5 linked regions of the Macaca fascicularis genome follow. The protein of the gene in region 3 interacts with the protein of the main gene of each other region in a biochemical or structural test. Links are inferred from orthologs where the notes say so. Each region holds a gene or a part of one and is shown on either strand. Other genes may lie near its edges. The genes, in order: HSP90AA1, CIB1, TERT, PTGES3 and TPP1.

The links.
Region 1: the proteins of TERT (region 3) and HSP90AA1 form a complex in vitro, tested with the Homo sapiens proteins (2 studies listed by BioGRID). The link is inferred for Macaca fascicularis from reciprocal best matches to the Homo sapiens genes TERT and HSP90AA1.
Region 2: the proteins of TERT (region 3) and CIB1 form a complex in vitro, tested with the Homo sapiens proteins (2 studies listed by BioGRID). The link is inferred for Macaca fascicularis from reciprocal best matches to the Homo sapiens genes TERT and CIB1.
Region 4: the proteins of TERT (region 3) and PTGES3 form a complex in vitro, tested with the Homo sapiens proteins (2 studies listed by BioGRID). The link is inferred for Macaca fascicularis from reciprocal best matches to the Homo sapiens genes TERT and PTGES3.
Region 5: the proteins of TERT (region 3) and TPP1 form a complex in vitro, tested with the Homo sapiens proteins (2 studies listed by BioGRID and IntAct). The link is inferred for Macaca fascicularis from reciprocal best matches to the Homo sapiens genes TERT and TPP1.

Annotation. Positions count from the first base shown.
Region 1 is NC_088381.1:170,186,958-170,193,237, forward strand, and holds the start of HSP90AA1 (heat shock protein HSP 90-alpha), read right to left. Parts: upstream 3,537-6,280; 5' UTR 3,478-3,536; intron 2,880-3,477; coding exon 2,718-2,879; intron 2,629-2,717; coding exon 2,262-2,628; intron 1,942-2,261; coding exon 1,808-1,941; intron 1,514-1,807; coding exon 1,193-1,513; intron 1,078-1,192; coding exon 912-1,077; intron 487-911; coding exon 296-486; intron 194-295; coding exon 46-193; intron 1-45. UniProt on the Homo sapiens protein: Molecular chaperone that promotes the maturation, structural maintenance and proper regulation of specific target proteins involved for instance in cell cycle control and signal transduction.
Region 2 is NC_088381.1:74,709,054-74,715,290, forward strand, and holds CIB1 (calcium and integrin-binding protein 1), read right to left. Parts: upstream 4,030-6,237; 5' UTR 3,974-4,029; coding exon 3,923-3,973; intron 3,793-3,922; coding exon 3,758-3,792; intron 2,392-3,757; coding exon 2,283-2,391; intron 1,575-2,282; coding exon 1,424-1,574; intron 1,283-1,423; coding exon 1,164-1,282; intron 1,076-1,163; coding exon 987-1,075; intron 557-986; coding exon 535-556; 3' UTR 301-534; downstream 1-300. UniProt on the Homo sapiens protein: Calcium-binding protein that plays a role in the regulation of numerous cellular processes, such as cell differentiation, cell division, cell proliferation, cell migration, thrombosis, angiogenesis, cardiac hypertrophy and apoptosis.
Region 3 is NC_088380.1:1,608,314-1,614,056, forward strand, and holds part of TERT (telomerase reverse transcriptase), read right to left. Parts: intron 5,666-5,743; coding exon 5,477-5,665; intron 1,780-5,476; coding exon 1,653-1,779; intron 138-1,652; coding exon 76-137; intron 1-75. UniProt on the Homo sapiens protein: Telomerase is a ribonucleoprotein enzyme essential for the replication of chromosome termini in most eukaryotes. Active in progenitor and cancer cells. Inactive, or very low activity, in normal somatic cells.
Region 4 is NC_088385.1:63,468,913-63,474,698, reverse strand, and holds the end of PTGES3 (prostaglandin E synthase 3), read left to right. Parts: intron 1-1,115; coding exon 1,116-1,178; intron 1,179-2,560; coding exon 2,561-2,585; intron 2,586-2,864; coding exon 2,865-2,884; 3' UTR 2,885-4,017; downstream 4,018-5,786. UniProt on the Homo sapiens protein: Cytosolic prostaglandin synthase that catalyzes the oxidoreduction of prostaglandin endoperoxide H2 (PGH2) to prostaglandin E2 (PGE2).
Region 5 is NC_088388.1:59,459,309-59,465,787, reverse strand, and holds the start of TPP1 (tripeptidyl-peptidase 1), read right to left. Parts: upstream 4,791-6,479; 5' UTR 4,769-4,790; coding exon 4,752-4,768; intron 4,636-4,751; coding exon 4,564-4,635; intron 4,284-4,563; coding exon 4,144-4,283; intron 3,142-4,143; coding exon 2,991-3,141; intron 2,794-2,990; coding exon 2,666-2,793; intron 2,519-2,665; coding exon 2,340-2,518; intron 2,247-2,339; coding exon 2,048-2,246; intron 1,896-2,047; coding exon 1,707-1,895; intron 1,456-1,706; coding exon 1,386-1,455; intron 944-1,385; coding exon 823-943; intron 711-822; coding exon 552-710; intron 373-551; coding exon 247-372; intron 68-246; coding exon 1-67. UniProt on the Homo sapiens protein: Lysosomal serine protease with tripeptidyl-peptidase I activity. May act as a non-specific lysosomal peptidase which generates tripeptides from the breakdown products produced by lysosomal proteinases. Requires substrates with an unsubstituted N-terminus.

The sequences.
Region 1 (6,280 bases), on a different chromosome or scaffold from region 3:
AGGTTATAAGAACGACGTATAGACTGTAACATAGCGTCCCCCTACCTGTGATATAATAGATATGTTTCTGGTTTTCCTTCATTCTGGTGCAGTAATCCTTGAGAGAAACCATCTCATCGCCAGAGGCAGATGTGTAGTACCTTAACAGCTCTGAAAGCTTCTTCCGATTTTGTGAGTCTTCATGTATTCCAAGCTAAAACAAAGTATGTTCTTTACTAAAGACTCTCTGAATTCAAAAAGAAATCTAAAAAGAGGCCAGCAGGGAAACTACCAATGGTCAAATATTTACACCAACCTTTATGTTTTTAGAGAACTGCTCATAGAACTTCTTGTAGTTCTCTTTATCTTCCGCCAGTTCAGTAAAGAGTTCTAAGCATTTTTTGACCAAATTCTTCCTGATAACTTTCAAAATTTTGCTTTGCTGCAACATCTCACGGGATATATTTAGAGGGAGGTCCTCTGAGTCTACCACCCCTCTAATGAAGTCTGAAAAAAATATAAAAATCAAATGCACTGAGTCATTCCAAGGACAAAACTGGTACTATGTAAACCCCCAAAAGCAAAGACAAGAACCTGGAGATGATAGGAGATTATTTTTGAGACAGTGTCTCACTCTGTTGCCCAGGCTGGAAGGCAGTGGTGCAATCTCCGCTCACAGCAACCTCTGCCTCCCAGGGGGGTTTTCAAGCTATTTTCATGCCTCAGCCTGCCACCACATCGGGCAAATTTTTCTAATTTCAGGAGAGATGGAGTTTCACCATGTTGGCCAGGCTTGTCTTGAACTCCTGACCTCAAGTGATCCGCACACCCCGGGTTCCCAAACTGCTAGGATTACAGGTGTGAGCCACCATGCCCAGCCAGAAGTATTTCTTTAATCAGTGACAGTGATTATTTTTCCTATCTATACTTACTCAGATATTCAGGGATTAGCTCCTCACAGTTATCCATGATGAAAACTCTGCGTACATACAATTTGATGTTGTTCTTTTTCTTTCTGTTTTCAAACAGGTCAAAAGGAGCACGTCGTGGGACAAATAGAAGGGCTCTGAATTCCAACTGCCCTTCAACTGAAAAATGCTGTAATAGAACAAACACACTAAGTATCAATGAACAATGCATTATAGCAGATATTTGGGGTGGTGGGATGATAATCTAAAGACAAGCTTGAAGCATCCATCAGTCCCTCACTCACCTTCACTGCCAAGTGATCTTCCCAGTCATTGGTCAAGCTCTTGTAGAATTCTCCGTACTCCTCATTAGTAATATCGTCGGGATTTCTGGTCCAGATGGGTTTTGTTTTGTTGAGTTCTTCTTGATCGATGTACTTCTCCTTAATCTTCTTTTTCTTCTTCTTGTCACCATCCTTCTTTTCTTCTTCTTCCTCATCAGAACCAACATCTTCAATTTCAGGTTTGTCTTCAGACTCTTTCTCTTCTTTTTCTTTTTCTTCTTCTTTGTCTTCTTTTTCTTCAGCCTCATCATCGCTGACTTCTTTATCACGTTCCTTCTCCACCTTCAAAAGACATGAAATCGCATCACTGCTGCACTCTAGAACTAAGTCATAGCGCTGCCCCACTACTTTCAACCTAAGGCCAAAGCCTAAATTACCGAGGATGAGAAGCAGCCAGGCAGCTTCTCATCAATATTTGATATATCTACTTAATAACCCGAGGAACCTTCACAGTTAGTAGAGCTTAGGTTCCCCAGGCTTCAGACTAGTTCAACAGACCTAGGAACTAAGGATGTAGTACAGTCACCCCAGTCACCTACAGACAGTAATTCACTCTGCAATTATGTAGAAACTTACAAAAAGAGTAATGGGATATCCAATAAACTGAGAATGTTTCTTCACAATCTCCTTTATTCTTCGTTCCTCCAAGTACTCAGTTTGGTCTTCTTTCAGGTGTAGGATAACCTTTGTTCCACGACCCATAGGTTCACCTGCAAGAGAAATAAGGAAAATTGACTCAATAATACATTCAATTTAGTGCTCAACGCCATGCTTAACCCTTATAACGTGTCTATGAAGCGAGGTTTGCCCTTACTACAGATGCAAAGGCTCCCACAGCAGATCTAAGTGCCTTGCCCAAAAGAAGTAATCACCAAGTCATGCCATTACACACTAATTCAGAGCTCTAGCTTGTTCCTGATCCTTGGGTAAACACACTTTCTGTGAACTTCGCCGCATCCCCAGGGGTCCAAGGGTTGCAACACCCCACCATTCCGCCACTGACTTAACCAGTGAGTGTTCAGGTACCTACCTGTGTCTGTCCTCACTGTAAATGATCCCCCTGCTGAGGACTCCCAGGCGTACTGCTCATCATCGTTATGTTTGGTGATCACAGTTACTTTCTCAGCAACCAAATAAGCAGAATAAAAACCAACACCGAACTGGCCAATCATGGAGATATCTGCACCAGCCTGCAAAGCTTCCATGAACGCTTTGGTCCCAGACTTGGCGATAGTACCAAGGTTATTGATCAAGTCAGCCTTGGTCATCCCAATTCCAGTATCCACAATAGTGAGGGTTCGATCTTGTTTATTTGGTATCAGGTTAATATGCAGCTCTTTCCCAGAGTCTAATTTACTGGGATCCGTCAAGCTCTCATAGCGGATTTTGTCCAATGCCTATTAACACAAAATATTAATTAAGCATACAGCCCCCAAGAAGTTCATATTGAAACCAAAATCCTATTCTGGGTTAATAAACGACTTACATCTGATGAATTTGAAATTAGCTCTCTTAGAAAGATCTCTTTGTTCGAATAAAAAGTATTGATAATCAATGACATCAACTGGGCAATTTCTGCCTGAAAGGCGAACGTCTCAACCTCCTCCTCCTCCATCGGTTGGTCCTGGGTCTGCGTTTCCTCAGGCATCTGGAACGACACCGCGCCGGTTTAAAACCCTGCAGAGCGTCTACAGGGGCAACACGAGATTCCATCGCGTCCTCCCAATATTTTTAAAGCCGGATTGCAGATTTGCGAAGTTTAAGTAAACCGAAAATAGAAGGGCGGCTGACAAAGGATGACCTCATTTCGGAGCGCGGTAACTACCACGAGCGTGTGCGCGCTTCCGGGAGGCCACTGCAGGCCCGGCCCAGTCCCGCGCCGCGGTCCCCAACCGACACCCCGTGTGCTCTCCCGCGCGGGCCGCGGCTCCGCCAGGGCGGCCTCCTCCGCCTGCGCCCCAGCTGGGCCGCCCGGGGGGCCCCCAGCCAAAGGGCCGCTCTGCTCGCGTGCGGCGCCAGCTCCGGGGCTGCCGCGGAGCCTCGGGGAGCAGCCGCCCAGCCCATTCCTGAGGCGGGCTGCGGAGACAGCAGCGGGCCCACGGCCTCCGGAATAGGCAGCGCGGCCTCCCGGGAGAGCGGCCCTGGCGGGTTCAGGGCTCCCGTTCGGCCCCCACAGCCTCCGCTCCGCGCCAACCGCCCCCACTCCCCAATCCACCTCCACAGGCCCTCACAACCGCCCCTCACACCTTGGCTAAAAGGCTGCAAACGTTCCACCGCACAGCAGCACCAAGACGCTGAAGCAACTGACGCGCCGCCCCCGCGCCTGCCTTATATAGCGACGGGCCCGCCCAGCGCGCGGCGCTTTTTCCAGAAGCCTCCCGAACCTTCCGGAAGAACCCTCCCCAACCGCCGCCGCGGCCGCGCGCCTGCGCCTGCGCCCTCGCCCTCGCCGTGGCCCGCCCCTCCCGCTGGCGCGCGCAGGCCCTGCTCGTGGCCCAGCCCGGGAAACCTTCCCTCAATCACCGCCCCGCGCCTCTCGCACGCCCCCGCGCCGACCTCAATGCGCCTGCGCGGCCTGGAATTCTCGGGAAGGTCCGGGCGCCTTCTGGGGCCGCCCGCGCTCTCTTCCCTGCACTCCCACCTGCCGAGCGCGGGCGGAGGGCACGCCCGGGCGTGGGGGCCTTTGAAGTGAGGTGTAGTTTGGTCACCCGGGCTGCGCAGAATGCGGGGCTGGGGCGGGAGGCGCGCCTGGAGGGAGGGCCGTGCGTGGACGGGGAGCGCCCCGGGTCTCGCACGCCTGGGAAACTACCGGAGCCGTCATCCTCACGGACGGCGCGCCCGCTGCCAAAAAACCCAGCCGCAGGCGGCGCCGGGATCGCGGGGCTCTGCTCCCTGGGGGCCTTTGGGCTGTTGGCTTCTAGCTGCTGCGCGCAGGGGACGCCGTCCCGCGGCCTGCGCGCTCGGGGAGTCTCCAGACCCACTGCTGGCTCAGGAGCGCTCCCTACCTTTGGGTTCCCCGGAAGCCATGTCCTTCACACTTCAGGATCCCTTAGCTTGGGAATCGGGCCCTTGGTGAATAAATTCATGCTTACCCAGCTACACCCGGCATGCTTTTTAAAAGCCCATCGTTTTGCCGATCGATTTGAGGTCTCCAAATTAAGTATCTAACACTTGACATTTTGGTGATTAACCTTCCCTAAAAGACAGGTTTGGTGTTTTTTTGTTTTTGGACAGGCTGTCCCTCTGTCGCCCAGGCTGGGGTGCTGTGGCACAATCTTGGCTCACCGCAGCTTCGACCTCCCGGGCTCAGGTGATCCTCCCACCTCAGCTTTCCGAGTAACTGGGACGAGCGCGGGCGGAGGACCACAAGCGCGGACACCACACCCGGCTAGTTTTTGTATTTATTTGTATAGTTGGGGTTTCACCATGTTGCTCAGGCTGGAAGAACCAGTTTCTACATGAGAATTTTCAGATATTTTGGTCAAGGCCAGCTATGAGAACCTTGGAGGTGTTGGGGATCCTTAGACTTGGCTCCCATGCCTGGTCCATGTCCTCTTCCTCTCTGGCGCCTCCCACGATTGGGCCTCCTCCTGCCTAAACTCATAGCCAGGTCCTGGGAATAATCTGGAAGCTCCTTACCGTGTAAACAAACGACGGAACTACTTCCGCTTCCTGGTCTCTAGGGAAACCAACTTATTCAGGAGCAGGGGTTTTCAGACTGCGGCCTGGGACCCTTTAAGAGTGTGTGAAATCAACATAAAGCGTCTTGCCCAGCATTACAAAGCGGGGTGGATGGAAACTAGCAGCCACGTGGCGCGGGCCCCAGCGGTGGTTACTGGGTGTGTGCCGGCTCCCGTGATAGCTGTTCCGCAGCCTTGGGGGGCGCCCCCCGCCCAGGCCTTCCCTACACTGCAGCCGAGACCGGCGGGGAGGAATCCGGAAGCAGGCGGGGCGGTGAGCAGGTTGCTGAAGGGGCGCAAGGTCTTCCCTGGCGAGTGCCTCCTCCGCCTGTTTCCTTCCTGTCACCACCAGCCACTGTCCCCACTCTCCTCACTTGTAGGAACTTTTCCTACCGCAGTTTCTGCCATTGCCAATGGGGTTTGAGATTTCTTATACAAGAGCCATCCCGGGCCCTAGCTCTGACAGTCTGTCTTTTGTTTTTGGGACCTTCATTTTTCCCCGTTTCTCCAGTGAACCTGCCCCAAAGCCCCTGCCTGGGTCTGGGCATCACTGGGAACCACCGTTTCCCGTCAGGCCCCACCTTTAATGTCCCTCCTTCCTTCCACAACTTCCTGTCTTTCCAGCTCTCCCGCCTCGGTTAATAAACAGGACATTGGCCGGGCGCGGTGGCTCAAGCCTGTAATCCCAGCACTTTGGGAGGCCGAGACGGGTGGATCACGAGGTCAGGAGATCGAGACCATCCTGGCTAACACGGTGAAACCCCGTCTCTACTAAAAAAAAAAATACGGCGGGCGCGGTGGCTCACGCCTGTAATCCCAGCACTTTGGGAGGCCGAGGCGGGCGGATCACAAGGTCAGGAGATCGAGACCACGGTGAAACCCCGTCTCTACTAAAAATACAAAAAATTAGCCGGGCGCGGTTGTGGGCGCCTGTAGTCCCAGCTACTCGGGAGGCTGAGGCAGGAGAATGGCGTGAACCCGGGAGGCGGAGCTTGCAGTGAGCCGAGATCGCGCCACTGCATTCCAGCCTGGGCGACAGAGCGAGACTCTGTCTCAAAAAAAAAAAAAAAAAATACAAAAAACTAGCCGGGCGATGTGGTGGACGCCTGTAGTCCCAGCTACTCGGGAGGCTGAGGCAGGAGAATGGCGTGAACCCGGGAGGCGGAGCTTGCAGTGAGCTGAGATCCGGCCACTGCACTCCAGCCTGGGCGACAGAGCGAGACTCGTCTCAAAAAAAAATAAATAAATAAATAAAAAATAAACAGGACATTTTTGTCCTGTCTCCGGGTGACATTCCACAGTTACACACCAGTTGAGACCTCTGCCATGGTTTCTACCATCAATATGCCAGCCCCTGGCTGTTCCTTCT
Region 2 (6,237 bases), on a different chromosome or scaffold from region 3:
GTTAAAGTTTTTAATTTTTCAAATCGTGCAGTAAAATAGACTTTATTGATGTACGGTTCTTTACATCTTGACACCTGCAGAGACTCATCTAACCACCACCCCAATCAGGATACAGGAGAGTACCACCCCTCCTGCTGCCCCTTCATCCTCACACCCTCCCACGGGGACAGCCAGCACGGGTGTGGCTTGACTTCCCACTGGCCCCTGCTCGATATGCTGCTTATTCCTAGGATGATCGAAGGCTCCTAGAAGAGAAGTCCAGTCCTTCCTCACACCATGTATCTCATATCACACACAGGGTCAAACTTCTAAACCTTTATTACTGATTAGTACAAACACAAACGGAGCAATGACAATGGTAGTGAGGAGAGGCCCTGACAAGGAGGGCTACCCCTGCCCGGGGTGAGGCTGCACAGTGCCAGCTCCAGGCTGGGCCAGCGTGGTCTGCGCTGGCAACACAGGCTTGATCTTGGCCACAGCTCAGCAGTAGAAAGGTTCTTGGACAGGGTGCCAGGACACACGCTGGGGCTGCTGTCACAGGACAATCTTAAAGGAGCTGAACAAGAGAAAAGGGGTGGGTTTTCTGCTGGAAGAGGAGGGTAGGGACTAAACCCAAACTTGACCCCCCTTCTCCCTTTAGACCCTTCTTTGGAACGAACTGTGTCCCGTGTGTCAGCCCACACTGGAAGAACTCCCTGAGACATCCAGAGGGAGCTTTCTGGACCCACACACAGGGTCAGAGCTTCTAAACCGTTATTACTAATTAGTACAAACACAGAGCAATGACAATGGCAGTGGCAAGGGGAGAGGCCTTGACAAGGAGGGCTGCCCCTGCCCGGGGAGAGACTGGCAGCTTAGCCGGCCCTGTGTGTATGGACTGGGGCTTTCTCTCACCCTGGCACCACCTCCTGTAGCAATGTCCTAGGCCCAGAGGCAGCAAATCGGGACCTGCAGGTACCCAGAATGCAGGGGCACCACTGTCATACCTGGCAAAGTCTGGAGAACGGGAGATGACGTGCTGGAACTCAGAGAGGTTGATGGTTCCATCCCTGTCAATGTCAGACTCCTCCAGGATCTGGGAAAGGGAGAGTTTCAGGCCAGAGCCCCAACCCCTCCCTCCCACTCCCAGGCCCAGCTGGGGCAGGGCCTGTTCAGCTGCTCACATTGTCGATGAGCTGCTTCATCTCAGATGCACTAAGCCGTGTGTCCTCGCCCTCTCCCGTGAGGCAGTTCACCAGCCGGCTCAGGTCTTCTCTGTTCAAGGTTCCATCATCATCAAAGTCTAGAGAACAGACACAGGAAGCCAAAAGACACGGTTGGGAGGGGCTCTGAGGTTCCACAAGCACGCCATTTCCCAAGCAGGGCCACCACAAAGCCCATGTGGGAAGGGGTGGTGTCCTGCCGGGCTGCTCCTGGTTCTCACCGAAGATGCGGAAGGCATAATGGGACTTGATGTCCGGCGTGGCTGTGTCACTGAACACACTGAGGAGGTCCAGGAAGTCCTCAAAGCTAAGGCTATCTCTGGTTGGGGAGGTGGAGAAGACCCTGCAGATTCGCTCCTTGAAGGGGTTGGCCTAGGAGAACAAACGCCACAGGATGTGGCCCAGGTCATACACTCATTAAACCCTACCAGAAACTTGAGAGAGCAGGTCACAGGACCGGCACCAGGGAGCTCAGGCTCGTGGGGGTGAACGATCAGTGCTTTGGGGCCAACATGAAGGGCAGTGGGGGCACAGGAAAGCAAACTGACCCAGTTAGGGAAAGGACTGATATGGCTTCCTGGGAGTCAAGTGTTTAACCCAAAGGCAGGTCACATACAACATAAGTGTGGGCAGAGAGGGAAGAAGTCATCCTAAACAAAGGGAACGAGATGGGCTGGTTATTTTAAAACACAAATATTTAATTGAACAACTATTGTGTTACGGGCACTGGGCCAGGCCCTTTGCACAGATATTTTGCAGCAGCCCCACGGAGTGGCAATCAGCCTCTAGAACAGGGTTCCTCAAACTTTAATAAGGTAACTCAACTCCTCTTAAGGGATAAAACTTCTCTGAACTTCCAAGATTATGTTCTAGAATCCCCATTTGAAAAGCACCATTCTAGATAATTCTGCCAGGTGATTTTGGTCAAGTCCTTGTCCCCAGAAAATTAGAACTAAGCAGAAAAATGACCAGAATGGGGCCCAGTGACCCCATGATCTCAAAGCTAGTGGCAGATGGAGCTAGGGGGTCTAGCAGGGAGGGAGTGGTGGGAGAGGTGTCAACGAGGGGAAGCGCTTGCACCTTGAGCTCTGGAAGGCTGAGAATCTGCTCGAAGGGCACTTGTGCCAGAAGTGACTGCTCCACGCTCCGCTGCTCCTGGGGAAGCAGCTCACAAAACCGCCTGTGGGCTCTGGTAGAGAGAGGGGAACTGTCGGTGTTCTCAGCGATCGGTTTCCCTGTGTGTTCATTCCCACTCCTTGCCTGCTGCTCATTATCAACCAGGTGAGGAGCTAAAACCACATGCACAGAACTTCCGAGTCATCAGGCAACAGTAAGCAAAAGGACATGTCACAAGGCAGTACAGCCTAGGAGTCTTTTCTTGCAATAAGTATTTACTGAGCATCTACTATGTGCTGGGCACTGATTCTAGAGATCCCTGAGGGATGAAGAGTTGGGGAAAAGGCCAGAAGTTGGCCCTAAAGAACTGGCCAGGCATGGTGGCTCACACCTGTAACCCCAGCACTTTGGGAATCCAAGGCGGGCGGAGCATTTGAGGTCAGGAGTCTGAGACCAGTCTGAGCAACATGGTGAAACCCCTTCTCTACTAAAAATACAAAAATTAGCTGGGCATGGTGGCAGTTGCCTGTAATCCCAGCTACTCAGGAGGCTGAGGCAGGAGAATCACTTGAACAAAGAGGCAGAGGCTGCAGTGAGCCGAGATCGTGCCCCAGCACTCCAGCCTGGGTGACAGAGCGAGACTCTGTCTCAAAAAAGAGAGAGAGAAAAAAAAAACAAAAACAGGGAGAAAAGAGCACAACCAAAAATCTCATTCTCACCATCACTCCAGGGATCTCTTGCCCTCAAAGCCTCCTTTTTAGCAGCCACCCTGAACTGTCCTCCTCCTCGGCCTCCGCCTCCTTCCCATGAGATTATCTTTGCCGCAGGAAGCCCAGGCACCTCCTCACTCAAAGTGCCCTGGCCTGCATAAAATCTGGCAAAAGGGCTTCCAGCCCAAGTTCAAATCCATTTACTCAAGAGTGTTGTCTTAAGCAGTTACCAAACCTTTCTGAACCTGTTTCATTGTCCAATACCTCTCTCCTAAAGATTAAATTAGGTAATGCAGGCAACAATGTAGCACAGTCCCTGGCACATGGTGAGTGCTCAGAAAGCGATAACGGTTACTGTATTATTCAGGTAAAGTTGGGAGAAAGAGCCAGGCTCCCCAAGGCTTCTGTGGTTTAGCCACCGGGCAAGGTCGGCCCCTGCCGGACTGGGGCAGGAAGTTCGGCAGTGCTGAAGCTAGTGGAGCTCAGGGTCAGAGAGCCTAACTTTTCCTGGAGGCTGTGAGGTGGCTCCGCGGTGCCACGCTGGGGCCTCAGGCGAGGGCGGGGAGGGCGTGCCGGGAGAAGGGCGCAGCCCGGGCTGGGTCTCCTGGCCTCCAGCTCCCGGTCCTCTGCAGACCTCAGGCCAGCCCCCGCCCCTCCCTTGGGACGGCGCCCCCGAAGCTGTCTCTAGAGGATCCCGGGGTCGCAGGCGGGGTTCAAGGCAGCACTTACAAGAGGATCTCCTGCTTCGTCAGGAACGTCAAGTCCTGGAAGGCAAAGCGAGAGCTGGCATTAGGGGACCGCTGGGAGGCCGCGGCCGCCCCGCAGCCCGCTCCGGACCCGGCTCCGGGGAACAGGCCCGCACACGAGCTCCCTAGGGCCAGGCGTCCCGCGCACCTGGTACTCGGCCAGCAGCTCCTTGGACAGGCGACTGCCCGAGCCCCCCATCTCCCCGCCTCGCGCACAGCTCCGCCAACTCGCCTAGAGACGCAGACAACTTTCTCACTTCCGCCCTTGGGCCGCGTCACTGCCCGGTCCCCGCGGCAACCGCTCCTGGGGCCACCACCCCCGGGCCCGCCCCGTCCTAAAAGCGCCCAGGCGTTCCCAGCCGGGTTTGGCAGGCGAGCCGCCGGCTCCGACCGGTCCCTGGCGAGCGGGAGGCGGGGCCCTGGGAGGGGCCCGACGCTCCGGGGCGGAGCCCAGGACTCACGGCCCCGCCTCCGGGGTGGGCGGGGGCGGGCCACGCCGCGCGCGTGCGTGCTGGCTGCGTATGCGTCACGGGAGTCGTGACCTCGCTGTGGCCCCGGCAGCGGCTGCAGGGTAAGTCGCGAGGTCCATCCGCTTCGGCTGCAGTAGGTGGTGGCGGCGGCTGCCCTGGGTGCGGTCCCGTAGGAGCGTCTGAGAAGTCACTGGAGCTAGCGTTTCCGGGAAACCTGGAGACTCGCTGAGTGGCCGAGGTCGTCGCCTGCCCCTCTGCCCAGCAAGGGCTTTTCTAGATGTTATCATCAGGCAATCGCTGCACCTGTCGCAGCCCCCAAGCCACCTCTTCCAGAAGTAACCATAACCTTGCTTCATTCTTAGGCTATTTACTGAGGACCCACTGGATGTGAAGCACTGTGCATAGTTTTCTTCGATTGTTGCAACATCCCTTGCAAGGTAGGCTCCCATTTTACAAAGATGGAAATACGTAAGTCCAAAGGGTTTTAGTGATTTTTCCGGGCTCAGGCATTTAGAAGGTGATCGGTCCAGTCCAAGGCACCTTTAAAGGCGCTCCACTGCTCTTGTCTTCATTCCAGCTGACCTGCTGTCCTTTTGACCCCATCTCACCCCTAGGCTGCTGACCCGTTTGCTCTTGTCCCCTCTTAACCTCTAGAACAATGTTTGGCACATAGTAGGCTTTCAGTAAATATTATCGAATGCATAATAAATGAATGAACGTATACTACTGCAAAAGGTAAGGATTCCAAACTGCTGGGAGGAGGAAGTGGAGGTTGTTGGTCAGGCTGGGATTAATTCTTGATCCTTCCAATCCATTATACTTGCTGATCTTTGTAAAGTCTAAATCTGAGCATGTTAATCTCAGTTTATAATCATTAAATGGTTAAAAACCCAAATCCTGGCCCTCTGTAACTGGACTTGCTCCTATTGGCTCTCTGTGTTTCAGTCACGTTGGGCCCTCAGTCCCTCTTCCATCTTATCCTCAGGGAAGCCTTTCCTGACTCCCTAGACTGCCTAGGAATCTACTTTACACTTGAAGAATACCCATTGCTTCTCCTTGGCAGCATGTGTTTAATAAGACCCACTGTATTAATATGTACATTCCATCACTGTAGAAATATTCAAGGCCAGGCGTGGTGGCTCATGCCTGTAATCTCAGCACTTTGGGAGGCTGAAGCAGGCGGATCACTTGAGGCCAGGAGTTCAAGACCAGCATGGCCAACATGGCAATACCCCGTCTCTACTAAAAATACAAAAATTAACCAGGCGTGGTTGAACCTGGGAGCTGGAGGCTGCAGTGAGTAGAGATTGTGCCACTGCAGTCCAGCCTGGGCAACAGAGTGAGACTCTCTCAAAAAAAAAAAAAAAAAAAACCTAGGGTATAGACTCATCCCAAGCTGATCATTTTTCTCTTAATAGCAGACTCTTTCTGTCCAAGAAGGAGTTAGTCTTCTGTTAGTAAAAGCTTAGGCAAAAAGCAGGAAGCTGTCATTATGTCTCCTGTACTAAATAGACCTTGTTTGCCTCTTACAAGCCAAGGCGAATACCTGGACTGCATGGTAGTAAGTATCTCTCTCTCTCTCTTTTTTTTTTTTTTTGAGACAGAGTTTCACTCTTGTTGCCCAGGCTGGAGTTCAATGGCATGATCTTGGCTCACCGCAACCTCTGCCTCCCAGGTTCAAGAAATTCTCCTGCCTCAGCCTCCTGAATAGCTGGGATTACAGGCATGCGCCACCACACCTGGCTACTTTTGTATTTTTAGTAGAGATGGGGTTTCTCCATGTTGGTCAGGCTGGTCTCAAACTCCCAACCTCAGGTGATCCGCCTGTCTTGGCCTCCCAGAGTGCTAGGATTACAGGCGTGAGCCACTGTGCCCGGCCATAAGTATCTCTTTATAGTGAAGACATGAGAGTCAGCTTTGTGCCTGGTGACTAGCTATGATCTAGATCTCTCAGCCACTTCACTTGACTCTGAATCCTTCATGGAACAACCTT
Region 3 (5,743 bases):
AGCCCCCAGTCAGAGGCGAGCAGAGCGCGGCGGGTCCCTGGAGGCTGGGCCTGCGCCCCCTTGGTGGCGGCTCACCTGTAGGCCTGCAGCAGGAGGATCTTGTAGACGTTGGTGCACACTGTCTGGAGGCTGTTCACCTAGAATCGCCAGGAAAGAGTGAGAAACGGCAGAAACCTCTCTGGGATTTTAAGTTTTTACTTTTTACTTTATCATCCATTCAGATGGCACAAGAAAGAGGAACATTTTGACAAGAAACCATCCCTCTCGCCAGTGAAATCCGGCCTGACCCTCACCCGGCAGCTGTCAACCACCCTGGGGGAGTCAGGACTCCCTGTCGTCTGCCTGCCTCCGAGGCTTGGCCAAAAAGGGAAGGCACCAGGAGAGGGAGTGAACGCAGATGCCCACAGGAGAGGGGAGTGGACACAGATGCCCATAGGAGAGGGGAGTGGACACAGATGCCCACAGGAGAGGGGAGTGGACGCCCACAGGAGAGGGGAAGTGGATGTGGACCCTCACAGGAGAGGGGGAGTGAAGGCATGGCAGTGTGTACACAGGTGTGCAAGGGCACAAGTATGAATGTGCACATGCAAATGTATACCTGACATGCATGTGTTCGTGTGCAGTCATGCGGCATTCACGTGAGGTGCATGCATGTAGGTGTGCAGTGTGAGTAGCATGTGTGCACATAACCTGTATCGAGGGCCCCTCATGTTCACCCTGATAGGTCCTCAGCACCAGCACCCCTCCTTATAGGGTGAGACAGGGTCCCAGGCCCCAGTGGGCTGTGGCTCTGAAGTTGCAGTCCTGAGAGCATTGTCCCGTCTGGACATCTGCATCCACTCCCTCTCCTGTGGGTGTTCACTCCCCTCTCCTGTGGGCATCCACTCCCCCTCTCCTGTGGGCGTCCACTCCCCTCTCCTGTGGGCATTTGCATCCACTCCCCTCTCCTGTGGGCGTCCACTCCCCCTCTCCTGTGGGCATCCGTGTCCACTCCCCCTCTCCTGTGGGCGTCCACGTCCACTCCCCCTCTCCTGTGGGCGTCCGTGTCCACTCCCCTCTCCTGTGGGCGTCCGTGTCCACTCCCCTCTCCTGTGGGCGTCCGTGTCCACTCCCCCTCTCCTGTGGGCGTCCGTGTCCACTCCCCTCTCCTGTGGGCGTCCATGTCCACTCCCCTCTCCTGTGGGCGTCCGTGTCCACTCCCCCTCTCCTGTGGGCATCCACTCCCCCTCTCCTGTGGGGATCCACCCCATCTCACCCTGTAAGGAGGGGCGCTGGTGCTGAGGACCTAGCAGGGTGAACATGAGGGGCCCTTGATACAGGTTATGTGCACACATGCTACTCACACCGCACACCCACACGCATGCACCTCACATGAATCCCACACGAATGCACATGAACACACATGCACATCAGGTATGCATTTGCATGTGCACATTCATACTTGTGCCCTTGCACACCTGTGCACACACTGCCATGCCTTCATGTACACACACACGTATGGCTCGCGTGCATCTGCGCACATGTGCACTCTTATGTGCAGCCAGTCACCGTCAGCCTTGCAGGCACGCACACACACACGTACACATGCGTGCACACAGTAACACACATGCCTCTCGAACTCTGAACTCTGTGCTGACCGTCAGCCTGCTCACCTGCAAATCCAGAAACAGGCTGTGACACTTCAGCCGCAAGACCCCAAAGAGTTTGCGACGCATGTTCCTCCCGGCCTTGAAGCCACGGTTGAAGGTGAGACTGGCTCTGATGGAGGTCCGGGCGTAGCTGAGACACAGGGGGGACGTCAGACACGGGTGCCTGCCCCACACCCAGCCCCCTCCTGCAAAGCTTGCTCCAAAGAGCCTCCTGCCTTCCTCCTGCTTCCTTGTCCTGCCTGGGGCACGCGCTGTAGCCTGAGGGAGTCGGGTGCTCTCTCCGTGGACTCAAAACGCTACACGCCATCCGGACCCTGCATGGCCAGACTCCACCAGGACGTGGCTAGTGATGTTGAGTGTATCCAAGCCTTGCACGGCCGTGTGTGTGCACTCATCATCTGCCCTGATGAGATCTGCACATAACTCGGCCAAAAATACATAATAAACTATGGAGCCCTGACTCCCAGGCGTCCCTCGAGCGGACACGGGTGTGACTCAGCTTCTCTGTGGGAGAACACTGAGTCGGGCATGGGGAATCTCACTGTGTTTGAATCTCATGGATGGAAGAGCCAGGTGGCGCCAGCTAAAGAGGGCTCCAGTGAGTGCACGTGGCACACACAGGGTATCTCCAGAGGGGCAGGATGGAGGCATCCCACCGACGTCCTCTAGGGCCCTGCCACCACTCACTGCCCGTGTACATCCGTGTCCAAAGACGAACACACGTGACATCCACAGCGGGCTCCCTGGGCTGCGTTCTTTTACATCCAGCTTTGAACACTGCTACATTGAAATAAACGTTTTGTGCCATTAAACATTCTTCAAAAATTCTTTGAAAACATGTCTAACAGCAGAGTTAAGTTTTGTGATACATAGTATCTGCTTAGCCCTGGATTTGGGCGGGTTGGCGACTTGCTGTGGCAATCCCCCCCTCCCCCATACCTGGAGCACTGGAAATGGGAAATAAGACCCGTGATAATGTCTGGTCACTTCAGAAGTGGAATTACTGGGAAAACACAGGACATTGTAAGGACTTCCATGCAAACAAGCTGCTTTCCAGAAAAGTCTTTCCAACTTGCCTCACCCTGATGCTGGCTCTTGGGAAGCCCAGAAAAGGAGCCAGCACAAAGGACGGGTCTCGCTGTCAGTTTCACACGCATTTCTTTGATGCTGCTGGTAGAACCTTCCCAAGTGTGCATCAGATGTCCATTTCTTCCTTCACAGTTGTCACCAACACAACCTTGGGCTCCGGCTAGCCCCGAGCCTGTGGGTCTGACCTGTGTGGGGTCCTCAGGCGGAGCAAGGGCCCCAGAGCAGCAGGCCAGGCTGCAATCACACACGCCCCTTGCCAGCTGGGTGCTACCCTGGAGGCCTTCTTCATCTACCTCTCAGGTGGTTAGGAGAACAAAGTGAGAGGATGAATGTGCAGGACCTCACAGAGTGCCTTAAATAAATCATGTGCACAAATGCTCCAGGGAACAGCCATTTTCACTGCGGCTCAGGCAAGCTGAGTTCCTCTGCGTGAAAGCAATAGCTGTTGCCTCACTGGTTTCATCTACCTCCCTCCGTGTCCTTCCCCAACACCAAATCAGGGAACGTTCACCTCCCTTCCCTTTGAGTCTTCCGTTTTGTTTCTGTTGCTGCTGTTGTTTGCACGTCATTCCTCTTCTACCTAGAATCTGCTCTGGTACATGTTGTAAAGACACAACTTATTTGCTTCCAGTCAGTTTTCTCAGAAAACAAAATTAAACACACACTCTCTTTTCCGTCAGCTGTGCCACATGCCACATTTAACACACGTTTCTGAGAGGTAGGGCTTCCGTTTTGTTCTATTGTACTGTCCATCACTTCTCACCACATTCTGCCATCTAAGCTGTGGTTTGGGAGACTAAAATCTGGACAAGAAAATTCCCATCTTAACACTCTTCCTTTTTCACTTTTCTTAATCATCTTGCCTGTTTTCTTCTCCCAGATGCCCTTCAAGCCTTTGTATGCTTCAGACACAGAGGACGTGTGTTCACCCCGAGTGCGGCGAACCACTGCCTCTACTGCTGAGCTTTTACAACCACCTCTGCAAGCAGGCACTCTGACCAAGTGGCCTTTGGGAGCACAGAATATTCTGGCATTGAACCCACATCTGACGACCTGATGCCCACCCATCCTGCACTAGCCTTTGTGGCTTTGCAATGTGTTCAGAGAGAACCCATTTTCCTGATTCGTTTGTCTGTCTGCTTTGTCCTTCAGTAACATTCACTGATGCTGTGCCATAGGCCGGAACCAGGGGTGCCTGTCCTAAAAAATACATTTCATGGGGAGCAAAATAAACAGTGGACAGTTCACGGCTGATGGTATGGCCAGTGCTGCAGAGGCGCCTAGGGAGAGGCAAGGAGGTGCCGGGAGCCCAGGAAATCTGCAAATCACCCAGACAAAGCCAGCAGAGGCCAGGATCAGGTGAGGCTGGGAGGGGGAAACAGGGACTGTGGGGAGCACAGGGGACCGGTGTCCTGGTGGGGAGGGAGCTGCAGCAGGGATGTGCTGGGCACCATGCACGAGGGCATCTACACCTGCCACTCCCCCAACATGAGGGTGTCCGCACCTGCTGCTTCCCTGTTAAGCAAACCCCAGGGAGCATTCTGGAAAGAGGCAAAGTCCAGATCCGGACTGTTAACTCAGAATGACAGGACCCCAGTTTAAACCACTGGTTTAACAATCATCCAGTAAGGGATTTAAAAATCCCTTATTTCTCTTCCCATGAAGCCGTGCCTTTTAGAGGAAGGCACCCCCAGTTCCGGCCTCTAGCACAGCACCAGTGGATATTATTGAAGGACAGAATAAAAAGCACCTGTCCACCATGGTTTTGGAATGCTGATACTTTTTGCCTTTTTTTAAGGTGAAGTCTCGCTCTGTTGCCCAGGCTGGAGTACAGTGGTGTGATCTCAGCTCACTGCAACCTCTCCTGATTCTCAATGATTCTCAACCTCTCCTGAGCCTCAGTGATTCTCCTGCCTCAGCCTCCCGCATAGCTGAGACTACAGGCGTGCGCCACCATGCCAGGCTAATTTTTGTACTTTTTAAGTAGAAACGGAGTTTCACTATGTTGGCTAGGTTGGTCTCAAACTCCTGGCCTCAAGTGATCCACCCATCTCGGCCTCCCAAAATGCTGGGATTACAGGTGTGAGCCACCGCGCCTAGCCTGGAATGGTGAGAAACAGCACAGATTTCTGCATCTGTGTCCATCTTCAATCCATCTGTGTCTGAGCCTGAGGTGGGGCCATGAGCTCTCAGGCTCAGGAGAAATGAGACCCCAGATTTTTGTAGAGACCCCCACACACCACAGCCCTGTCCCCTGATGCGTCACACGTGATCATGAACTCATGGCATCATGTAGACTGTGGATGAGCCTCGGAGTGTGGGCCTCACAGTGGAGAGACTCACGTCCAGCAGGGCCCCAGTGTCTCAGGTTCGCAGAGACTCAAGCCCAGCAGGGCCCCAGTGTCTCGGGTTTGGAGAGACTCACACCCAGCAGGGCCCGGGCGTCTCGGGTTCAGATCCAGATTGCTCTCTGAGGACACCTCAGTGTTCCCAGGTCTGGTGCACAATTTCCTTTTACAAAAATAGCACAGAAAACCTCTCCCCTTGTGACACCCTCACTCCCACAGAAAGACGCATTTCTGCTCAGCCCTGGATGGGACGAGGGGCACCCTGTGGCCTCCGACCCTTTGGGATTGGCAGTCGCCTGCCCCACACGGAAGCAGGGGTGGACGGGACGTCCCTGCAGCACCATCTGTCCCTGCCGGGCACAGGCTCCGCTTCCGGCCAGGTGTGCTCACCTGGAGTAGTCGCTCTGCACCTCCAGGGTCCGGGTGTCCAGCAGCAGTCCGCACCAGGGGAACAGGCCGTGCGCCGGCAGCTGGACAAAAGCTGCGCCACCCAGGGCCTCGTCTTCCACAGGGAAGTTCACCACTGTCTTCCGCAAGTTCACCACGCAGCCGTACTCAGGGACACCTCGGACCAGGGTCCTAAGGCAGAGGCGCGACGTCAGCCCCCCGATGCGGGGCCGTCACCCAGGAGGTGCCCTGACGCCCTTGTTAAATGCT
Region 4 (5,786 bases), on a different chromosome or scaffold from region 3:
AACAGACTTTTACGTGCATGATACAGTATTGTTAACTATAGGCATAATGCTGTACAGTAGGTCTCTGGAACTATGCATTTTGTGTAACTGGAACTTCATACCTATTTAACAGTAGCAAGTCTGCATTTTCCCTTCCCTCCAACTCCTGGCAGCTACCATTCTCTCTATTTTTGTGTGTCTGTCTTAGGTATCTCATATAATCTTAGGTATCTTATATAAGTGGAATCATGCAGTATTTGTCCCTGACTGGCTTATTTCACATAACATGACATGCTTCAGATTCTTCATTGTGTTTTGTCACATAAGGCAGATTTTTTTCTTTTAAGGCTGAATAATCCCTACTTTTAGGATGAACACATTCCATTGTATGTTTGACTAATCTTTTTAAGGTTCCTTCCAGGCTGGGTGTGGTGGCTCACACCTGTAATCCCAGCAGTTTGGGAGGCCAGAGGCGGGCGGATCACCAGGTCAGGAGATGAAGACCATCCTGGCTAACACAGTGAAACTCTTATCTACTACTAAATATACAAAAAAATTAGTTGGGCGTGGTGGCAGGTACCTGTAATCCCAGCTACTGGGAAGGCTGAGGCAGGAGAATGGCGTGAACCCGGGAGGCAGAGCTTGCAGTGAGCCGAGATCACGCCACTGCACTCCAGCTTGGGTGACTGAGTGATACTCTATCTCAAGAAAAGAAAAAAGGTCCCTTCCAATTCTAAAATCTGAGTGATCATGTATTTTTGAAATCTGATTTTTTTCCATGCATATGTGATTTTATTTTTCTAAAATATAAACATTACAGAAATGGTTTAAACTTGAGAAAATAAGTTTCTCATCATCTGATAATAGTTTAGGTTTAAATCATTTATTGGTTCTTCACAATATCTAAAACCTTTTCTTTAGGGAAAATTTAGTTTTAATTTCCGTATAGGTTTTTAGAATTTTGTGTAATTGCTTATAATCTTCCTTTTCCAGAAGGGAAGATGCTTACATTTATTTTGCATTTTTCATTTGTGGATATCCGTGGCAGACCTAAGGTTTATTCTGAAGCATACAGCATTAATAATTAGGGCCTAACTTAACATCATTTTTAAAACTAATTTTTACACTTCAAATAGATGATGAACAACATGGGTGGTGATGAGGATGTAGATTTACCAGAAGTAGATGGAGCAGATGATGTAAGTCTAAAAGTTTTTTTCTGTTTACTTTCATACTATTAAATAGTAAACAACATATTTACAAATGGTTTTATATAGATTCAGGATTACTACTTTTCTAAAAAAAAAAAAATAAAGGGAAAAGCAATTTTTAAAATGTGCCCATTTTTGAGGAATGGGTATCTATTAGGGAACTGGTTTTGCCGTAGACCATTCCTAAATGGATCGCATTTCCAAAGAATAATTGTATAGAGACATTATGTAGTAATACCTTACTCAATTATAACAGTCGGTTCAGGCCGGTCGAGGTGGCTCACGTCTGTAATCCCAGCAGGCCGAGGTGGGTGGATTACCCGAGGTCAGGAGTTCGAGACCAGCCTGGTCAACATGGTGAAACCCTGTCTCTACAAAAATTAGCCAGGCATGATGGCAGGTGCCTGTAATCCCAGCTACTGGGGAGGCTGAGGTAGGAGAATCGCTTGAACGAGGGAGGCGGAGGTTGCAGTGAGCCAAGATCACACCATTGCACTCTAGCCTGGTCAGCAAAGCAAGGCTCCATCTCAAGGAAAAAAAAAAAAAAAAAAGTCAGTTTATAGGGATTATTTTGACTAAGAAAGTAAATTAAATAGGTTTTATGTCAGGATTGGTCAGAGACTGATGAAACAGATGGATATTGGGAGGTGGAGACGGGTGGATCAGAGTTTGAGGCCAGCCTGGCCAAGATAGTGAAACCCTGTCTCTACTAAAAATACAAAAATTAGCTGGGCACGGTGGCGGGTGCCTGTAATCCCAGCTACTTGGGAGGCTGAGGCAGGAGAATCGCTTGAACCCGGGAGGCGGAGGTTGCAGTGAGCCAAGATCTCGCCACTGCACTCTAGCCTGGGCGACAGAGCAGGACTCCATCTCCAAAAACCAAAACAAAACAGATGGACATTGTAAATCTGTAAGAGGAGGATGAGGATATAATAAACAACTATTCTCAACATCTTGTCAACCCCAGCATCCTGTTAACATCTCCCAGAAAGTTATTTAATGCTATTTAGAAAAATATATAATATTCACTCAACAGCTAGGATTAGAGTTCACTGTCTTCTGTCAATCTATTTTTCTTCATATTGATCCATGTTTTCTCTTGAATGCTGACATAGGTTAATTTAGGAATGGATTCAAAGGGTGGGCTAAACTGTCACCAAAAGGTGCACACTATTTTTTACAGGTAGATAGATCCTCTGCTGTACATCCATTCACCTTAGGTTAAACCTAGTCTTAAGTCCAATGACTAAATTTCTAGGCTTGGTATAACTACCTACCTGTGCTACTTTAGTCAAAAATAATAGCGCTTGAACTATTCAGGTAAACTCAAGTATTTGATCAGTTTGGTAACTTTATTTTCCCTCTTTCAGGATTCACAAGACAGTGATGATGAAAGTAAGTGTATGTAAAAAGTATGTTTACACAGTGATATTTTGCATCAAAAACCAAACTCAAAATAGAGATGTTAACTTCTTTTGAAAAAAAGTAATTTTTTCTTTATGACCTTGAATAAATAACTAAAACAGAAATGTGAATAACTTAAGATAGCAAGACAACCTATTAATTTACTGGGGAACTGTATAATTCAATTTTTGGTTGCTTTTCCTTTAAGATATTAAAATTGGTAGATTATTCCCATGTACTTTATACTAATATTTTTTACAATTCTTTCAGAAATGCCAGATCTGGAGTAAGGAGTATTGTCATCACTTGGATTTTGAGAAAGAAAAATAACTTCTCTGCAAGATTTCATAATTGAGAGAATTCCTGAGTTGATAGCTCTAAAGGCAGATGCTGTATTTGCCTACTTTAACCCATTTTTCAACCTGTTTGTTTTTTAAAAGGCTTCACTAAGGGTTGATATGTACCATTGTATGGGGCAATTTTAAGTCAGCTAAGGCAATAACCTTATGCATGAACATTTCCCAGACTTTCATGAAGCTGTTGAGGTCCTAAGCAATTGATGCAGCTGTTGTGATAAATAGAAACATCTCACCTAAGTCTCCTTTTCTTCATAACATAGATACTGACATGATAGGAAGCTCTCAGCTTAGGGAAAGATAACTAAATTTTAGATTATAGAACATGGATTCAAAAGTGGCTGGAACAAATTGGCTGACACCTTACTGGTAACCTGCTGTTCTCCTGGTGTTCCTTCAGGATTGTTCCACTAAAATTTATTTTTCAAAAAATTTACTTCATATGATTCTATGTAAGTGATCACTTGTCAGTGTTCCAGGTGTATCTTAGCTAAAACTAGAGAATGCCCTAACTTAGATGGTTTTTGAAGCCTATACATTTGGTATTGTTTGACCCTTAAGCTTTTACATCTCTTAGCATGGAGGACGAAGAAAGCTGTACATTGTTGCTTGAGAGTCTGTACATTTAGACCAGATTTGTATTTGCACTGTCAAGTATGGCAAATGAGTGAAAAATGTTTAATACACTATTGGATTTTTTATTTCTTTTTTTGATTCAGCTTATACCAGGGCTGAAAACCTCAATTTATGTTCATGACAGTGGGGATTTTTTTAAATGTCTACATTCTTTCTAATAAACTGTTGGAAGACTTCTTGGCTGTCCTTTTAAGTGTCTGGCTTACTGTAATTTTTATGTATTTACCATTTACTGGAATGGAGTTATTTTTATTTGAGGAAGAATTTGGGATTATTCCTCTGTTTGAAAAAAAGAGGCTTGCTGTAATGTCACAGGAAACCTTTTAAAAGTGGATCTGTAATAGAATATTGTAGATGCACTTTGCAGCAGTTGGAAAAGAAAGTGTTGTGATTTGATTGAAATAAAACTAAATGTGTTGTCCTCCTCTAAATCTTTGAACTTCTGCATTTTGGAAGTTTTCATTCCCTCACAGCTTCTGTAGTTGTCATAACATAGAAACACTATGTCCCAGCTACTCGGGAGGCTGAGGCAGGAGAATGGCGGGAACCCAGGAGGCGGAGCTTGCAGTGAGCTGAGATCCGGCCACAGCACTCCAGCCTGGGCGACAGAGCGAGACTCAGCTCAAAAAAAAAAAAAAAAAAAAAGACTATGTATTTCAGCACTTTTTTACGTCGGATATTCAGGACCTGTGTTGCAGGCAGTTAAAGTGCTGGTGATACAAAGAATATTTCAGATGATTGCTGAGCTCAGAGAGCTCACAGGCTAGGCTGGGGGAACAAACGAGACAAAAACTTGATAGGAAGTGTGATAATAGATATGCATAGTGCATTACGATATGTAGTTCTTCAGTGGGGAAAACATTTTAAAAACTTGTTTGATTTTCTTGAAAAAATTCATACGTCACTTTTGGAAATGAATGATTCGTTGGCTTACCGCCCAGCCTTGAAACTATGCCATTATACAGGCCAGGCACGGTAGCTCCCACCTGCCTGTAATAGCACTCTGGGAGACAGGCAGGTGGATTGCTTCAGACCAGCCTGGGCAAGGTGAAACCCCAATTTTTTTTTTTTTTTTTTTTTTTTTTTTTTGGAAGACGGAGTCTCCCCTGTCACCCAGGCTGGAGTGCAAGGGTGCAATCTCCGTCTCCCAGGTTCAATCAATTATCCTGCCTCAGCCGCCTGACTAGCTGGGATTACAGGCGCACACGACGATGCCCAGCTAATTTTTTTTTTTATGTTTGGTAGAGCTGGGTTTTCACCATGTTGGCTAGGCTGGTCTCAAACTCCCGCCTGCCTTGGCCTCCCAAAGTGCTGGGATTATAGGCATAAGCCACCACGCCCAACCTGCGAATCCCTATTTTCACAAAAAAATTAGCTGGGTGTGATGGCGCATTCCTGTAATCCCACCTACTGTGGAAGCTGAGGTGGGAGGATCAATGGAACCCGGGCCATTGGGGATGCAATGAGCCAAGATTGCACCACGAACTTTTTTGTAGACAGAAGTTTCTCCAAAAAAAAAAAAGGCTGGGCATGGTGGCTCACGCCTGTAATCCCAGCACTTTGGGAGGCTGAGGCAGGAGGATCACCTAAGGTCAGGAGTTCAAAACCAGCCTGGCCAACATCATGAAACCCCTTCTCTATCAATAATACAAAAAAATTAGCCGGGTGTGGTGTCATGCGCCTGTAATCCCAGCTACTTAGGAGGCTGAGGCAGGAGAATCGCTTGAACCCAGGAGGCAGAGGTTGCAGTCAGCCCAGATTGTGCCATTGCACTCCAGCTTCCCCAGGCTGGAGTGCAGTGGTGCAGTCACATCTCAAGCACCACACCTGGTGGACTTACATATTTTGTAGAGACGGGTCTCCATGTTTCCCAAGCTGGTATTGAACTCCTAAGTTCAAGTGATAGGCCTGCCTTGGCCTCCCCAAGTGCCAGTATTAAGGTGTGTGTCACCTGGCTATAATTTTAAAAATATATTTTGTGTTCAAACACTTGGACAGGTTCTCATCAGTCCTTATTTCTTAGGTACCAAACCTTGTGCATTGTACCTCATCTCTAATTCAAAGCTGTTAACATTTTCTGGGGTGGGCACGGTGGCTCAATTCTGTAATCACAGCACTTTGGGAGGCGCCACTGCACTCCAGCCTGGGTGGTAGAGCAAGACTGTCTCAAAAACAAAAACATGTTCTGGGCTGGGCATGG
Region 5 (6,479 bases), on a different chromosome or scaffold from region 3:
GGCCAGAGCAGAAACCCTGGCCCTCCACCTCTTCATCCAGACAGGATGCATGGCAGCCATGGGTTACCTAGGGAGGAGGCTGGCATCAGATCTGGGCCTGCTAGTACCAATACTTAAAGAGTATACCTCCTCATCCTGTATTCATATTTCAGAGGCTGTTCCATACCACCCCAACTGCCCCCAAGTCCCCCTTAGTACTCCCCATAGTTGTATGAAAATGTCCACACCCTTCCCTTCCACACTCACATCAAAGAGTCCTGCCCCATGCTGCTGGTAGAGCCTTGGGTTGAGAAAGCCAAGAGGGGGGCGGCCACTGAGGATTCTGTGCTCATTGATCAAGGATAGGAGCCCCCCAAACACTGGAGTAGAGGCCTGCAAGAGTGAAGGTGCAAGTAAAGGTCAGGGGTTCAGAGTGACTGGACTTTTTGACGGTGATGGTTTAAAGTATCAGACATCTCTAAGGAGTCAGGGGTTCTGGATGCAAGGTACTCAAGGTGTTAGGGGGTAAGGGTAGTTCCTGAGTGAGAGTTTGGAGATGGGCTGATTCTCACCGAGGTTCCGGACACCCATGGAATGGGCACTCTGTTGCTGACCACCCAGTAGCCATCAGAAAGTGCAGCCACATCTGGATAGGCACGGCCACTGGCATTGAAGTAACTGGATGGTGGAAGGTGGGGGCTAGAGCTCAGGAACTTGGCTACAGCTTCCTCCTGAAAGGCATTTTTGAGTGAGTATTGGCATGTGGCCTGCCCAGCAGTCAGCTGAACTGAGGATCCCCCATCCTCACTCTTACCCTGCATCTATGCACATAAACACATGTACCTGGTATGAAGGCCGTGGGAACACATTGCTGAAGCCACCACCACTGATATAGTCAACAATTTCATTTGTGATGAGGAAAGGTTCCTGGAAGGATGTGCCTCCCACTGTGGTGACATAGGGGCTGAGGGGAGAAGACAGCATTCAGATAGTAGGGGACCCAAGGGGACCTCCAAGATATGTGGGGAGGGGTGAGTATAGCCCAGATCTTGCTGGAGGAACTAGACTCTATGGGGAAGCATCTACATAGGATTGACTAAGAGATTTTGAGCCTTCAAGGCATGGTCCGAGGTGACTGTGCACACGTTTCTCTACAGAACATCCACCAAATCTTCCACTAAAATGCCTGGGGACTGAAGAAAAGGAACAATGGGAGCTGTATCCCACACAAGAGATTTGGGGCCTGGGACCTACAGGAAGAAGAGACAGGAGTGCAGCAACCAGGGCAGGCAAAGCTTAAGGCTGAACCACAGGAGCACATGGTGGGGTCAAGACAAAGGTTCTACATCATGAGATCACAAGTGAAAGGTGGTGGTTATACTTGAGTGGTAGGCTAGAGTACTTACCTGGAGGCAGGGAAGGTAGGGCGGAACTGGTGTCTTCCAGAGACAGACCAACACCCGGCCCCACTGTCACCTAAGAGAGACCAAGTGTAGCACTCATATTAATTGGTCAGGGCTTAGTATGTGGGTTCAGATGTCAGAGAGGAAATTTATGTGTCAGCTGTTACTGCAGGAGGTCAGAGTGTAGAGGTTAGGTCAGTGGTCCCTGTTGGAAGGTCTAAGTTCAGATTATGAGTCAGAGACCAGGCTCAGGGGTCACTGTGGGGTCAAAGCTCCCAGGTTGCAGGGGTGGAAGCGTTGTCTAAGTTTAGGGTAGGAGGTCACCTGAGGCGAAGAGCAGGGTGAGACCCCGAGCAGCAGCCTTCATGAGCTCCGTGTTGACCCGCTGGATGTAGGCACTGCTGAGGGAGTCCTCCTCATCTCCATAGCTCACAGTATGCACATGTGGCAGGGCTGACTCGTTACTGAGCAGCATGAGCCACTGCAGGAAGGGCTCCTGTCCCTCATGCCGGCCTGGATTATTATTTTTGTTTGAGGGATGGGCACAAAGATAGTCATTGGGGGTTGTCAGGATCTCTCTCCAGCTTACAGCATTCCCTTGAGGGGGCAGGGATCAATACCCATCTCCCACCCTCTTCCCCACCGTCCAGTCCTCTTGGCAGTACCAGGGCTACTGTAGACCCAGGTGGAGATGTTGGCGCCAGCACTCATCAGGTACTGCACATCTAGACTGGCCTCAATCCCGGCCCGGCCCCGGCCCTGTTGTCCAACCACACGGGTTACTGATGCCTGATGTGCAAAGTTGCCACCGAAGAGGCGCATGAACTGAGCCAGGTCTGAGTCATGGAAATACTGCTCCAGGAACTATGGAGGGAGTCAGAGCAGAGGTCGTGGGTCTGAGGGTGAGTCCCAGTGTGGCAAGGCACTGAGGACCCTGGGGCTCTTTGCTTGGCTCACCTGGGCACAGGCTTGGCTGTTATTGCTGGTGCCAGAGCCCACGTCTTGTGAGGTCAAGTTATATCGCTTACGGATCACAGAGGGGGTCACCCCCAAATGCAGGCCTACAGTCCCTGTCACCTGCGGCTCAGGACGTTGCCTCAGGGATGATGTTGGGGGAAAACGGTGCAGTCCCCCCACTGTAGGGAGAAGTCAGGCTTGAGGAGATCTTATAGACTGTAATGCCCACCTTACTACTCACCCTACCCTCAGTCTCCAAAGGCATCTAAACTTCCCCAGCCCCTGGATCTGTCTGCCCCAACCCTCATTCACCCCATAGGTGTTACCAAAGTCCACATGGGGGGCCAAGGCCTGTGGAAGCTGGTAGGGACGTGGGGACCTTACAACATGGGTCTCTGTAGGTCCTCCCACATAGTGATGAAACTCAGCCCCAGGGAGTAGCAGCTCTGCTTGCCTGGAGGTCAGAAAACAGAGGTCAGAAAGCTCAAAACAGAACAGAAGAAGCTGCCTCTGAGCATCCCTGGGCAGTCAGTCACTGTCTCCCCATGCATCAGCTCCCACCCACAAGCCCCAGCAAGCTCTCAGCTCCCTCCCATCCATCTCACTGAGGGGATGACTGGTGCCCTCCATGGAGAAATCATTTCCTCTCACCGGATGCTCAGCCAGCAAGTCAGAAAGTCCTGTGTGATCACAGAATGGCACTTCTGGGCTCCGGCTGCCAAGAGCCATTTTTGCACCGTGTGGAGGGTCAGTGGGGATGGCCTCACCAGATCAGCCACATTCTCTAGGGTCAAGTATTTTCCTGCAGGGATTCAGAAGCGGCACTTGCCCTCATTCGTTGCTTTCCCAAACTCCCCGTTTTGGACCTCGACTATGAGACATCAGGACTTCCCAAAGCCTGGATCAGGGTAAAGGAGGGTTGTGCGTGCAGGTGTAGGTTGTACTTGGGGAGCAGAAGAAGAAAAGGCTGGAGAGACTTGAAATGCCATGGCCAAGAATATGGATTTACCCTAAAGGCCAGTAAGTTGCAAATGTCACACCACAGCATGTATTGCCATGATCATGAAAATCAATGAGATTAATACATATAAATTTTCCATTTTAATCTTAAGCTTATGTCCAGTAAATGTTTTCAAATCTCTTGGCACTAGTTATCCAGTTTAGCTCAAATTTGCATACTTGTTGATTTTAAGCTTAACACGATGGTGAGTCACTGTTTCCTGCCATGCATACTAGTGTCACACTGCCCTGTCCCCAGCCTCTGCAGTTCACATGTGCACACTCCCCCTGCTGTGAAGGGCTTTAACCAGGAGAAGGAACCAATCCATTCTGACTGTTGGAGAGACTTTTGAAGCAGAGTGGGGGAGTACAGTGAGGGGTGGGGTGGAGGGAGACTGCAGATCAGCTGGGGAGCTGGGCAGTAGTCCAGGAGTGGGAATAAATGAGTTGGTAGTAACAAAGGACAGCAAGAAGTAAACTAATCCAAAGGCTCTTTGGGAGTTAGAACTGGCAGCCTTAGTATGTGAACAGAAGAAATTAGAATGGATTCAAGGGTAGGGGAAGGAACTTAAGTTGTACTAGATGCTATTTTCCCGTTTGCCTGGTAGCTAGTAAGTAGCAGAGTCAGAATTTGAGTTCATGTTTGATCATAAAGCCTATATGCTGAACCACATCCCCTTTTAGGTTTCTAGCCTGAGGAACACAAGTGTCTTGTCAGGCCCTGACATGATCACCATCCCATGCCCAACCCAGCCCTGTGTCCCTCCACTGCATCCCACATCCTGTCCTCAGTCCCAAAAGGCACCGTATTGAGGAGAGTTGGGATCTGACACAGCCTGCACCAGCTCCGAGAGTCTTTCCAGGTTCTGCTGTCTCAAGGCAAAGGTGAGACTCAGCTCTTCCTCAGGGTCCGCACGGCCCAAGGACACCCAGCCTGGGGGCAGCCTGTAGGGTCAGGGGTCAGGGACATGGCTTTGGTTAGGGTAGAGATGAAAAATATTGGTCATGGAAGGTTCCAGATTAGGAGCTGAGACCTTGGGTAGGATCCTAGGAGCAGATACAGATCACATGAGGTGAATGACAGGGGACTGAGCCTAGGAACCTAGAGATGAAACTATGGAGTGTGTACTAGGAGCTGGCATGGGGGTGAGAGAAGCTAGGACCAGGACAGTGAGAGGCAGAACAGGGTATGGGGAAGGGGGTGGTCTGTGCTAAGTCAACTCACGTTCTCCGCTGGTCGGGCTCCGGGCTGTAACTGCATTTGCCAGAGAGGATGAGGGCAAAGAGCCCTAGGAGGCTGTAAGGGCAGCAGGTGGGTTTCAGTGGGAGCTACATTGTCCTTGTGTTCCCACCCTCCCAATGTATGCTCCCCCCAACGTGATCCCTTTCTCCCCAGCCCTCTCAATTTCTCACCAGGCTTGGAGTCCCATTCTGCCCTTCCGCAGATCTGCTGTCATGTGACAGATCACATGAACCCTATAGTCCACCACCAACCCTCTGCCTAGTAACTAGTGACGGTGCTGGCTCCTCCCTTGCGTGGGTGGTCCTGAATGCTAGGCAAGGGTGGTGCCGCCACTCGGATTCTCCCCTCTGGCCAGTCAAGCGCTGAGTAAGCCCAGTGCTCCCCACCTGCAGCCTGAGCTTGGTCCCCTGGGAATCACCACAAGTGAGTAGGCTCTAGAGACCCACAGACCGGGGTTCTTCCTAGCTATATGATATCAGCAAAATAACCTCTCAGAGCCTAGGTTTCTGCATTTACAATATGGAGACTTACATAAAAGTGATCTGCCTTGAAAATATTGCAGTGAAAAAATTTTTTCCTCCTTTATGTCTCCATATTATCAATTTTGTGTTCATTTTAGGACTACATTTATGAACAGAGTAGAGCTTTTGCAAGATCAGGATCCTTTTATTCAAATCCGTTTCCAGTTTTAAGTCGCTTCCCAGGAGATCTAAAATCAGCTGGGGTCCTGTTTATTACGGGTCCCAAGGTTTTCAAGGAAATCAACTTTGTTCCAAGAGCCACGGAGGAATCTTGCATCTTGTTTAGTGGGCTCAGGTGACTAAAATGGAAACAGACCTTTGCTTCTTTCTAATGGTAACTCAAAGCCCACAAGGTCTGAGTTTACTGCTTCGAATTGGGGTCATTACAAGAAGATTTTCAATGAGAGTTAAAACCCTGAGGATTCAGTTCCCTTCCAGTCTTCTTAAGTATTTTTTTCCCCAAAAAATCCATATGGAAGATGGTGTCAGCAGTGTCATTTTAACTTCTAAAACCATTAATCCTATACTCATGTAAAATCCCTTGTTCTGACCTCAATACTTTTTAGATAGATCCCTCTACTCTTGCTGTTTTCCTACAGGCCACTGACATCCATAACCTATAGATCATATTCCCACGCTGAAGATTACGGCACTTCACTTTTCTCTCCATCCCAATTCCTGCGATCATTTGACCTAGATGATCAAATTATCTAGGTAAAAGACCCATTCAACACCCTAACCTTCCATTTCTTCATCTCATTAAACCCAAGGAGCATTACCTTCACTTCACTGAAGCAAACCAGTCCCATGGCTACACTTGGGCTTGCTATCTCTCAAAACTGCTCTACCTTTGAAATTATAATTATAGAATCCTTTCTTAGACTATAACCTTCTGTTTTTTCAAGCTATTGTTTTTCCTTACTCCTATTAATCTGACTTCCTCCTGTCCATTGATCCCTCCAGTTTCCCACTAAGCTTGGATCCTAGAGCTGTATTTACTAGCATCATGCTCAGAAACATTTCTCTTTGACCACTTTATTTTTTTTTTCTAATTTCCTCAGTCCCATGAACTTCTCAAATATTGGCCAATCGCCTTTCCCTCACAGCCTGGCTCCCCCAAAGAATGGTCTACACCAGTGGTTCCCAAATCCCTTTGTATGACTGTGAAAATTTACACTGAGATGAAGCAAGACAGCCACCTGCAGAAAGCCTGACATGACAAAGGCTCAACAAATTGAGCTATTATTACAATGTGGATATTTAGTGGCCCCAAGAAAAACAAATAAACCCCTTGACTGCTCTTGTACCCACCCCGACTTATTTTTAAAAAAGAATTTCGGGCCTAGAGCTGGTCATCCCCAAGATCCCCTTTCACAC